Xenopus tropicalis: one gene and its partner. Each later gene encodes a partner of the first gene's protein in a complex. Links are inferred from orthologs where the notes say so. Each region holds a gene or a part of one and is shown in the gene's direction. Other genes may lie near its edges.

What was found. The genes of interacting proteins can lie anywhere in the genome.
Region 2: gins3 (region 1) and mcm5 share a complex: the UniProt entries of both Homo sapiens proteins name them as parts of the CMG helicase complex. The link is inferred for Xenopus tropicalis from reciprocal best matches to the Homo sapiens genes GINS3 and MCM5.

The regions. Positions count from the first base shown.
Region 1 is NC_030680.2:75,817,046-75,823,069, forward strand, and holds the start of gins3 (DNA replication complex GINS protein PSF3), read left to right. Parts: upstream 1-2,381; 5' UTR 2,382-2,385; coding exon 2,386-2,553; intron 2,554-5,275; coding exon 5,276-5,509; intron 5,510-6,024. UniProt on the Homo sapiens protein: Required for correct functioning of the GINS complex, a complex that plays an essential role in the initiation of DNA replication, and progression of DNA replication forks.
Region 2 is NC_030680.2:115,591,388-115,597,394, forward strand, and holds the start of mcm5 (DNA replication licensing factor mcm5), read left to right. Parts: upstream 1-2,191; 5' UTR 2,192-2,206; coding exon 2,207-2,376; intron 2,377-3,050; coding exon 3,051-3,177; intron 3,178-3,354; coding exon 3,355-3,483; intron 3,484-3,805; coding exon 3,806-3,978; intron 3,979-4,287; coding exon 4,288-4,443; intron 4,444-4,817; coding exon 4,818-4,984; intron 4,985-5,215; coding exon 5,216-5,387; intron 5,388-6,007. UniProt on the Homo sapiens protein: Acts as a component of the MCM2-7 complex (MCM complex) which is the replicative helicase essential for 'once per cell cycle' DNA replication initiation and elongation in eukaryotic cells.

The DNA.
Region 1 (6,024 bases):
TGATGTCTTATGTATTATTATGTTGAGGCCAAAAATAATAAAATTATGTGGCCCCAGTTTCACAGATGTAGTTTATGCCATATACTGGAGGTAGAGGTGCTGTGAAACTATGGCCATTGGTTTAACTATAGTCCCACAACAAAACTTGCACCCGCGCCTGCACACACACTCACAACCACTATCCTCCTTAGCTAAAAGATTGTGCCACAGAGGTGGGCAAGTGTGCAGTCACACCCCCTTTCCTCCGTTTTTATGCTACTCACTAAAGTCTGTTGCAGCAGGAAAACAAGGAGTCCACAGGGCTTGCACTCTTTTCATTATTTTGATCAGAGCAGTATGTCTGTCATGCCGGAGAAGTAATTCTCTGGCATGTCCCGGGTTAAACCTGGCAACATTTGGCCTTGGGTCCACACAGAGACCCTTAATTAAACCTGCAACAAGGGACTGTGGGAAGGTGATACCCTTATCTGGGTTAGAAGACAGTTCGGAGCCAGACCATTTGGGCAGTGAAGTTGGGGCAATTGGTTTCTTTGATCTATTGATCAAAGAAAGTGAATTGTGGACATAAGAAATGCTGGGGGAACAGCTAAGAGAAAATATGGATTATAAAAAGGGATCCATATCTCCTTTGCTTTAGGGTTCACATCCTCATAAATCACATATTGGTTATAAGGTCACATGCTTTCTAAAAATACCAAACAAGGCCAGCCAATACCCACCAGTTAGGGGGGATAGTTTTCATGTTTGGTATCCTTCTGATCACCCACATATGGGTTAAAGCAAGCCCATATTTTCATAATAATATTGGATACTGTCAAGTGCCAATATTATATGACAAGAAACTGGCCTGAGAATTGCAGTCCTCTACAGGAGGTCATAAGTGATAAGTTCCTGGGCACTCCCCCCTCATGCATGCGGTAATGAGGAAGGGTCCAAGCAGGGGATAAAAGGGCAAAAGACCCAGTTACTAACAGCTCATACCTGAGGTCCCAATTCTGTTGGGGTGTGGGCTCAGGTTTCCAAACTCTTGCCTCAGGAGGACACAAAGGAAATTCCTAACTTGGTAAAGTAAATAGGGTTTCTGTGTTTTATTCCCTTTTATTTTATTTACTGTTTGCAATTTTACGTGTATGTCTCTTTTTGTAATATCTTTTAATATGTACTGTTTACTCTTGTAATATTAAATATAAAATTTAATAAGTTTTGTCCGGTTGCTCTAAAAAGATTTCACGTAGCTTGTATGAACGCTTGGGGCTAACTGTATTAACAGCTTGTCTGTGTGTAGAAGGAAAGTTGTCTGTGTATAGGCTAATTAACTAGTTGACTGCTAGCAGGAGAGTATGTTTGACTGTAATTTAACCTTTTGGCTGCTAGAGTGCTTGTTGAATTAGTAGACACTAACCCTAACTACAGTGAGAGTGTGTGATACAGTTGTGTATTGGGAAATAGTACCTGTTGTAGAGAGCACTGAATATTTATTTGGGGCGGTGGTGTGTTTGGGGGTGTCTGATGTTAGTCTAACCTTAGGTAACCTTACTGAGTGTAACCCCGTTTCCTCATCCCAGTGTCACGTGCGTCTAAGAGTGGCGTGATCGTGACAATGTCCTTATCATTTGTGAAGATTCATGTATACCAAAGGTTTCAACAATTGTGCAGCTGGCCCTTCTGGGGTGGCTTGAGGCAGTGGTGGGCAGACCCTGAAGGCCAATTAAGATGAGGCATGGGGTGAACGTTTATTTTGCCGATTCAAGGTAACAACGTATTTGCTGTCTAAGATATTATCGGGGCTATGCAGAGAAAAAGGTTGAACCTCCAACTCGGGCTTAAACTGAAAAAGTCTGACAACCTCTATTATACGGACTAGCAGGTAAAAATGTGGCTTTGAGCCATTGTTATATAGGAAAGCCTGTATGTTTTTCCATAAACGGTAGCAACCCTAATTAAAGCTGTGTCTCTCAGCTCCACAGGAGATAGAATTATGATCTCAAACGCAGTCCTGGTTAAGGAAATGATCACTCCTTAACACTCACTGCTGCATCATCGTAGTACTAGCAAGGCTCAGACGACTGCAATTGCAAACTCATTCCTCCAAACTAAGGAATATTATAAGGCTAAAATAATATTGTATTACACAACTTAAACAATGATGTTATTAATCAGATTACCAAGCCGAAAACAAACACTAATTGAATCAAAACCAAACAACCACAAGATTTCACGATAGTTCAGACTACAGCAGAATACATGACACTATGAAAACGAGGCTTGAGACGCGGTAGTGGGCAGGACCGCAGCAACGCGGGAGATTCATTCAATTTGTGGTGCTGCAGCCATTTTCGCTAGCTGGTTCCCTTTGCAGATTGGTAGAAGAGGATATCATTCATAATGTGGGAACCCTACATGCCAGTTGAGCCCGGCTTGGGCAGGGAGGAGAATTTCCTTTCCATAGAAGATTTGTTAATGTCACAGGAAAAATTACCTTGCCGTGTAGAGAGCGGCTTCCCTCGGCTCGGCTTCCTAGAGAAAGGTGGTGACAGCGACAGCATCCCTGAGGTGACTTTGGGTGATGCAATAATAAATGTAGCTTTTCTGGGTGGTCATGGATTCATATGGGCAATCCATCATTGTGCTCCTGCAAATTTACCTTTCATTCCATTGGATTAACACTGGGCGTTTTAATGTGTTGCCTTTGAAAATGAGTTTACTTTAGCAGTTCTATTATAGTCAAGTTCTGTGTAGCCACAACAGCATTAATGAGCTTGGGCACTGATGCTGGGCAAACAGGCATGGCTTACAGCAGTGATCCCCAGCCAGAGGCTCATGAGCAACATGTCACTCGCCAACCCCTTGGATGTTGCTCCCAGTGGCCTTAAGCAGGTGCTTTTTTTAAATTGGAAGCAAGATTTGGTTGCACAAAAACCAGGTTTACTGCCAGAAGAGTCTCCTGTAGGCTACCAATCTACATTGGGGCTACCAAATAGCCAATCACAGCTCTTATTCGGTACCCCAGGGATGCTCCCCAGCTGTTACTACATTTGACTGTGGCTCATGGGTAAAAACAGGTTGGGGAGCCCCGGGTTACAGACTGTCCTGCAGTTAACCTCAGGTGTTCAGTTGGGTTAGGACTCTATGTAGGCCAATAAAGTTCATTCTCACATTTCGGCAAACTAAGTACAGATGCTGTGTGCCTGGGGGGAATTATTGTGCTAAAGCGGAGACAAGAGACCGTGCTTCCAGAAAAACACAAGAACTGAGAAGTGAGTGTTCCAACTGAGTGCATGCAGTTTTAGAATGGTTTACCTTGGGCCATGGGTTGAAATCCTCCTGTACGTTCTGTGACAGGCAGGTGGCATGGACAAGTGTTTCTCCACTGACTGGGTAAACTGGTTTGCCATCAGTCTTAGTGCTGTTGGTACATGGTGCACTTTTTGTCTGGCTAAAAATAACTTCAAATTATTGCCTCCCGTAGACATGACAGTGTCAGTAAAGGTACTCTGTAGCCAAAAAATGCTCTAAATAGTGTTTCTTGGCTTAAGAACTATTGGACATTTGGGTAATTTCTAATTGGTCTGGGGCACCCAGTACAAGAAGCCAGAAGGGGTTATGATGTAGTAAAGGTACAATTACTGGGAGTTGCCAAAATACTAGGCACCCCCAGTGACTGTAATCACTATCTGATACCCCAGGCCAGTAATCCTGTAAGCAGAACTGGGCCAGGGTAACTGCGAGCGATCCTCTTCCTCCTGTCTTCTTTCTTCTCGATCCTGGGACCAATACATGTGCAGTACAGTGAAAAAGCAACATTTTTTTGTTAAAGTTTAGCTTTTCACTCTACTGCATAAGTGCAAGCTGTGCAAAGAAAGAACGAAAAGGATAGCTTGCACCCAGTTAATGTATGCTTATTTTTCCCCTTAGGGGCACTGGCACACAAGGTTTGTTGCCTGTGGGGAATCTGTGCTACATACAAATGACAAATCTGCTGAAATTACCTTTCCCTTCACTTGAAATAGTTTATATGCGGTGATACAGCTTTTTTTTATGCCTGAACTTTTCAAGTGATTTACATGCCATGATCCCCACATTGTTACCCACGGGTAACAAAACTCCTTGTTTGCCATTTCCGTAATGGACAGGGAAAAATGTCAAAGAAAATGTAATTGAAAGCAACATATCATTATACGTTAATTAAAAATGTTGTTGTTTTATAAATGAGAACAGATTGGTCCAGCACAGTTGTGCATAACAGGCTGTACATAGACCAGAAGGATATGAGGAAAAGTCTGTTAAATAGTATATTTAGATTTGACATTGGTGTAAAAAATTGTCATTTACAAGTGAATCACATTCAAGAACATCATTAGAATATTTGATCTGAAGTAATGAAGTAATGGAAACATTTTGGTACTAGTAAAGTATTGCAAATGGCACCTCTATCTATCTAATTATCTTTATGTGTATATGTATGTATATATATATATATATATATTATAAAAATGCAACTCATCCCATGAATCAATCAAAACCAATTGGGGGCACATAGGTGAGTGGCTTGGCTTATATTATATACTATATACATTACTCCAGCACTCCATTATATAGCTTCAAGAGAAAATTAAAAACTAAACCAAAGCTATATAATGGAGTGCCTGGGTAATGTGTATAGTATATAATACAAGCCACTCACCTGTGTGCACCCAATTAGTTTGGATTGATTCATGGGATGAGCTGTATTTTTTTGTATATATTTGTGTGGTAAGGGGAAGTGGCTATTCCCTAATTGAATGCTTGCTCTCCCAACCTCGCCCCTTTAAGGATAGCCTTGCAGTTTTTTTTTTTTTTGCAAGAAGGTGTTTATAAGCTTAATTGCGGAATGGTTTCTTTGGAATAGGTCATGCCATATAAAGAGAAAAGCAGGTATGGTCTTTCTTCCACCAAAGAAAATATACTCTCTTTTTCGCTAGGTTAGGACTGACGCAAGGACACTGCCTTGACGGGCGCGTCAGCTTATGCATACTTTGTACAAACCGTGTAATGCAACGTGTCTCTTTTCACTAAAATGCAGACATTTTTCCTTCAGTGTGTGCAAAATTGGTTTTTAATTTTCTCTTGAAGCTTGAAGTGTGTACCCTACCATGTAATTGCCTTATTCAGTACTACATAATGAAATATTAAGCCTCCCTTGCTTAAAATACCAGTTTTCATCTTTTGTATCCAAGCAGGTGTTATACATAATGACCACTGAACTTAATTACTGTAATAATTCCTTTTTTGTTAGGGTAGCAAAATGGAACTTCCATTATGGCTGGCGAAAGGTCTTTATGACAACAAACGGCGTGTACTTTCGGTAGAGCTACCAAAGATTTACCGAGAAGGCTGGCGAACTGTTTTCAGTGCTGATGCCAATGTCGTGGACCTGCACAAGATGGGACCTCATTATTATGGCTTTGGCTCCCAACTTCTCAACTTTGACAGTCCAGAAAACCCAGAAATTGCAAAGACAATATTGCAGGTAATTATTGCATTGTGGTAATTATTTCAAGTTTATGTTAAAATTTAGCTGCAGCATGAAAATATTTTCTTCCTTAGGTAGCACAGTACTATTCAAAGCAACATGAAAGTGCCCTTCAGTGCAAAGCCGTTCAATTCAGGACCCAGACTTTAGGAGTTTTGACTTCCTGGAAATTCACATCATTAATAAAGTTATTAAAAAATTCACACTATTTAAATAAAGACCTTTAAAGAAGTCGGAGCATGGGTCTAGCTAGAATGAATATAGTTACTTAGCACTTATATTTGCCTATTAGCACTTATATTTGCCTATTTGTGTCTGTTAGTTACCCCTCCCATATAGATTGTAAGCTCTACGGGGCAGGGACCTCCTTCCTCTTGTGTCCTCGACTCTTACCTTATTGCTGCTGTATTTATCTGTATTTATTATTATACTTTGTATTTATCTATTATCTTATTAACACCCTGTTTGTATTAATGTATTCTACTGTACAGCGCTGCGTACATAAGTAGCGC
Region 2 (6,007 bases), about 40 Mb from region 1:
GAAATTTTGCATGGGGCAAGTCATGTTTTTCCATTTTCCAGGGTGCCACAGCCATGCGACTTGTGCTTTGATAAACTTCAGTCACACTTTACTGCTGTGCTGCAAGTTGGAGCGATATCACCACCTCCTTTCCCCCAGCAGCCGATCAGCAGAACAATGACAAAATAGCAGCTTCCTGTCACCTGCGTTGCTAAAAGTTGTAGATATCAGAATAGCAGCCAATAGTAAAAAATCCAAGTCTGGCTTGGGACTCCTCCCGTTACATGGGAGGAGGAGACACGATTGGTTATCTGAAAGCAGTTCTAATGTGTAGCACTGGCTCCTTCTGAAGGCTCAGACTCAGGGGTATATTTATCAATGAGCGAAGTTAGAGCTTGCCACAGTCCACTATACCGAAATTACGTGTAGCCCACTTTATGCACGGTTGTGGCACTACCCGTTGGAGCACGATACTTTGGCGCTACAGGAGTCCTGAGCCCCCGCTTACTATGGGGGTTTACAAGGGATTCTCCCCTAAATGGCGTGCCTCCACCCAGGGATGGTCTTGTGGAACTATATTCCACCCCCTGGGAAACGATCAGGATACAATGCCCCTTTGGGACCCACGTACTCCCGGTGTGATGTACTCACTCTTTGAGTTATTCCTTACCGGCGTAGTAGTGGTCCTCTGGGCTAGGTAGATACTCACAGCAGACACAGTTGTATATGAAAGGAATGCTATGGTTTATTCAGGCAGAGACCTCTCCAGGAGCGGCATATCATTTATACACACGGCAGGGCATATCTCCTTACTTCTCATTGAGATCCTTTTCCTGTTGGTACTACCTCACGGGTTTCCCCAATGTGCTCCTATCTAGGTGCTATCCCCGGTACTATCTGTGAGACCCTCCCTTTGGAGTTCTCAGTACCCATGCTAGGAGTTACACCACAAGGACCCACACCGGTACTAGCGTATGGCACCCTCAGATCCGGACTCCTGGACTAGCGGGGACTTGTCCACCTACCTAGCCACTTAATGCCCTGCACTCCAGCAGATGTAATGCTGGGGGGTCTTAACCCCACTACCACTCCTGGAGGGGCAATATCCGCCCATTCTAGCTTGGTGTCCTACATGACACTCCTAGAATGTCCTATTACAAGAAACTACTATCTAATAACTCTATCAGGGGAAGCTCCTGGTCCCAGGAGCTATCCCAGCCTAAAGTGGCTCAAGATGGCTGCTACCCTTTTTATGGGCCTATGCACCACCCGGTGGCCATAACCCGAACTACAGGTATACTCCCTGTTAACTATGTAGAACCCAGTCATCCCAGTGTCCCTGCTAACTAACACCAACCAGTGGCCTAGTCTAGGGGTGTCTGTCCTAAGGGCCCATTTTTGATAAACCCCTACATACGCTTCTATCCATTGATTTTTAAAAGCATATTTATCAATTAGTGAGTGTAAAAGTTCACCCTTTTAAAAAAATAATAGTAGAATTTCACTCTAGCAAGTTTCTCACTCTAATAAATCTACCCCTCAGGCACAATGCACTGACATAGCTGCCTACACAGAATAACATTTTCCTGGCCATCCCCTGGCAGCATAACATTTGGTAGAGGATAAACCCAAATGTTATGCTGCCAGGGAGGAAGGCCAGGAAAAGAAAATCTCGGTAAGTATGAATTGATTTTCTCCTTTAAATGGTAGAGCAAGTTAAGTAAACACTGAAATCTAGAAATAAACAGTTCACCATAAAAATCATAATATCCCTTTAAGTAAAATAGATAGAAATGTAGAATGAAATCACCATAACAAGACCAAGTAGAACTCGGTTCTAAAATACTGCCTCAGAGTATTGGACTCCTCTGAACACGCTAGTTTTTCTGTTCCTCAGCTACAACTTCCTCCATTTTGTTTCGGTAAAGTTTGGCGCCAGGCATTGCCCTCCCACCTATGAAAGGGAAAAAGCTGCCATTACTCCCAGCCACTCAGCAGGCTTCGAAATCTCTTACGTAAGGCGTGCACTGCTGGATTGGCCGTAGATACAGGAGAAGGGCGGTCCCTAGAAACGGTATCAACCAATAGGGAAATAGCTGAGGCGGAACAGATCGTCGCTGTTACAGAGGTTTGGCGCGAAAAAAAGATTTCGCGCGTTCTTGTGAAATAGGTGCATTGGCGGCCGCAGCTCTCGCCTTTTGTGCTTGGTACCCTTTTCTTCGTTACAATGTCGGGATTTGACGATCTTGGAATCTACTACAGCGATAGTTTTGGCGGAGAGCAGCCGGTGGGTGACGACGGACAAGCCAAGAAATCACAACTTAAGAAGCGGTTCAGAGAGTTCCTCAGGCAGTACCGTGTAGGGACCGATCGCACCGGCTTCACCTTCAAATACAGGTCTGGGACACTTTGTTGTAACGATTTACAAGTTTGATTTTGTTAGGTGTAATCCTAAACGAAGGGATCTGATTAATTCAGAGGTTACTAATGGGCTTGAGCATGACCCGAACATATATACGAGCGCATGTGTCATTAAGTGCCATGTAAAGGGGACTTTTACATTGTATATTCATCTACATACATGTGAAATGTCATACCCATCACTTGTGTCAGTGCTGTTCTGTAATTACTTCCGATCCACTACTGTCCTTCCATCCTAGACATAGATCCATGGTTACATTAATGGTACAGAGATACCCATAATGCACAGTGGCTGTGATAAGAGGAGGTGTTAAAAAAAATCAGATGGCAAAGCATGTAAAACTGAGTTAAAACACAGCTAACTGGAGCTCTGTATTCATATCTGAAAACTTTTTCCCAAGTCTGTTATAGGAAAGCCATAAAAAATGGTAGAGAATTTTCAATAAGTTTATTTTGTCAATTTATTTTTTGGACTAAATATCACAAAGAACTAGGATTTTTGTCTTTATATTCCTCTTTAAGGTGTTGCAGGTGCTTAAGTCAATGTCAAAATCGGGACTGACCATAGTTTTACAGATTTGTAGTTTACAACCCTCAGTATCTGTGACAGGGCCAAATAACATACATTCAACAACATATTTTATTTACAGAGATGAACTCAAGCGTCACTATAATCTGGGAGAATACTGGATAGAGGTGGAAATGGAGGACCTGGCCAGCTTTGATGAGGACCTTGCAGATTATTTGTACAAACAGCCAACTGAACATCTGCAGCTGGTAAGTAGCTTTTAGTACCAATGTGTTCAGTCTGCCAGTTATTTGCCAGTACTGTGAGTATTAAGGTCTTTACATCTGGGATGTAGAGTATATGTATAATATAGCAAGATATGTCACAGTCAGTGTGTGATTTTATATATTTTTATGATTTTACTCATTGTTTAACTCAATTTACAGCTGGAAGAGGCAGCCCAGGAAGTTGCAGATGAGGTGACTCGCCCACGACCTGCAGGTGAAGAAACTATACAGGAAATCCAAGTTATGTTGCGGTCTGATGCCAACCCTGCTAATATTCGAAGCCTGAAGGTGAGAAATTCTATGGTTGATGGTCTCTTGAAATTTGCATTGTCACATGGCTACGTAAACATATAATTACAATACCTGTGTTTTTTTTGTTTTTTTTTATAAATGACATTTGTTAATATTTTCATTTCAAAGTGGTGGTAATGTCAGATTTTCATCAAAGTATGCTTAAATATCTAGACTTAAATATTATGCCCTGCTTAGTCAGTGGTGCAGCTTGTTCCACTGAAGTCACAACATACTGCCATTAATATTACTTAGGGTTATTTAATCCCTGTGCCACTTTATTAACCATTGCATATTCTCACCCAATGTTATATTGCAGTCCGAGCAAATGTCTCATCTTGTCAAAATTCCCGGCATTATCATTGCTGCCACCGCTGTGAGAGCCAAGGCTACGAAGATCTCAATCCAGTGTCGTAGCTGCCGAAACACAATTGGCAACATAGCTGTGCGTCCTGGTCTAGAGGGATATGCTATGCCACGTAAATGCAACACGTATGTGTAATTGAAGTTCTGTGGAACATGAATGTCTTTTGATGTTACTTGGACCCTTGTGATTGTGTAATATAAAGTTTTCTTCCAATGGAAGCAACTTGTCAAACTTCTTAAGCCTTTTTATACTTCGTACTATTCTTAGTGAAGTGGAGTGTATTTCCATTATCTGTTAACAGTTGATATGGGGGGAAGGTCTAGGAGCCATAGTTCACCACTGGATGGAATTGGCTGTTAGCTGTGGTAAAATTGATTAGTCAGCACAACATTTACCTTTTAGATTCTTTTAACTTTTGCTGTTACTCTTCACAGGGAACAGGCTGGCCGTCCAAAGTGCCCATTGGACCCATACTTTATTATACCTGACAAGTGCAAATGTGTAGATTTTCAAACTCTGAAGCTTCAGGAGTCTCCAGATGCTGTACCTCATGGAGAGCTTCCAAGACACATGCAGTTGTATTGTGACAGGTATGTTTAAAATTAAATATATTTGTAATGAAACAGATATTGCTAGATTAGAGAAATGCAGTATGTTCTATGTATAGGTTTGCAAATAATTGGTCCTTTTCATCTATATTTCTTTTGGGATGTAGACAGAGGCTTTTTTTCTGATCACTGTCAATTTGATGCTTAGCTGCAGAGTTAATGTTGCTACAGGAGACTCTTCCATACAGTGTCTTGTGGTTAAGACATTTAAAGTGCACTGTAACCTCGGCTTAAATTAACCCCATTTAAAATGCATTTATTTTCGAGTCTGCCTTTTTATATCTAATGCTATTAGCTTTGGTGTAAATTATTGTGATACCACATTAAACATTTAAATTTCCTAATGTCTATTTAAGGTACTTGTGTGATAAGGTTGTTCCTGGAAACAGAGTGACAATCATGGGTATTTACTCAATCCGGAAGAGTGGAAAGACCTCAACAAAGGGCCGGGATCGAGTGGGAGTTGGGATCCGCAGTTCCTATATAAGGGTAGTGGGCATCCAAGTGGATACAGAAGGAACAGGTGAGAGGTGGCAATATGCAAAAGTGCAGCTATGTTTAAAGGGACAGTAACACATTCCAGTTGAACTTTCCATTCCATTCCAGTTGAACACAATTCCTATATAATCCCGAGTGTTAATAATATTTTCTAAAGGGGGTGCCCACTGCCTCCCCCAAGCACAACACATACACTTACTCAACACTTATAGCTGTCAGATGTGTGATATGCATTTATTGCTTACTCGTTGTTTAGGAAGAAGTGCAGCAGGTGCTATAACGCCACAAGAGGAAGAGGAGTTTAGGCGCCTATCTGCAAAGCCTGATATCTATGAGACTGTTGCTAAAAGTATTGCCCCCTCCATTTATGGCAGTAGTGACATCAAGAAAGCCATTGCTTGCCTGCTGTTTGGAGGCTCCCGCAAGAGGTAAAACTTCTGTCAACTGTAAACTAAAACAGTGATATCCCCTTATAGGCAAATGGCCCATAGCTATTTTAACCACCATGGTCCCCTCTGAGTAAGAACTGTGATAGTGAAACAAAAATTGACATGGTTTATAGCTGCTTTTTAGGTGCATGATGGAGAATTGTGCTGCTTTTGGCAGGTACTGAAGCTGTCAGGGATTACTTAAATGCAGAATTGTCCTTTAGACTGCAATGAGCTTGTGTACTGTAGATCAGGGTCTACTGTTGGCAGTCTTGCACATAGCTCTTGGCTTTCCCATTTTCCTTGAATTGTTTTGAACACAAGTAATAGTGTTAGGGCTCATACTCTCAAACATCTGTTCCTGCATTCCTCTGCATTGGATCCTTCCTGCTTTCCACCACAGGGAAATGCAGGAACAGATGCAGACCATTCTTCCCTATCATTTGCTCACACAGGCGCATGTAAGCACTGAACACAGGTGGAGCACAACATGTTGCTTGTCAGTAGGAGTCCTTAGTGCACCAAAAACTCAGTATGGCTATACAGTTTAGTACTTGCTTATACATGCAAAAACAGAAGGAACAGTGAGCATTGGCTCAATATAGATTTGTTTTATGATA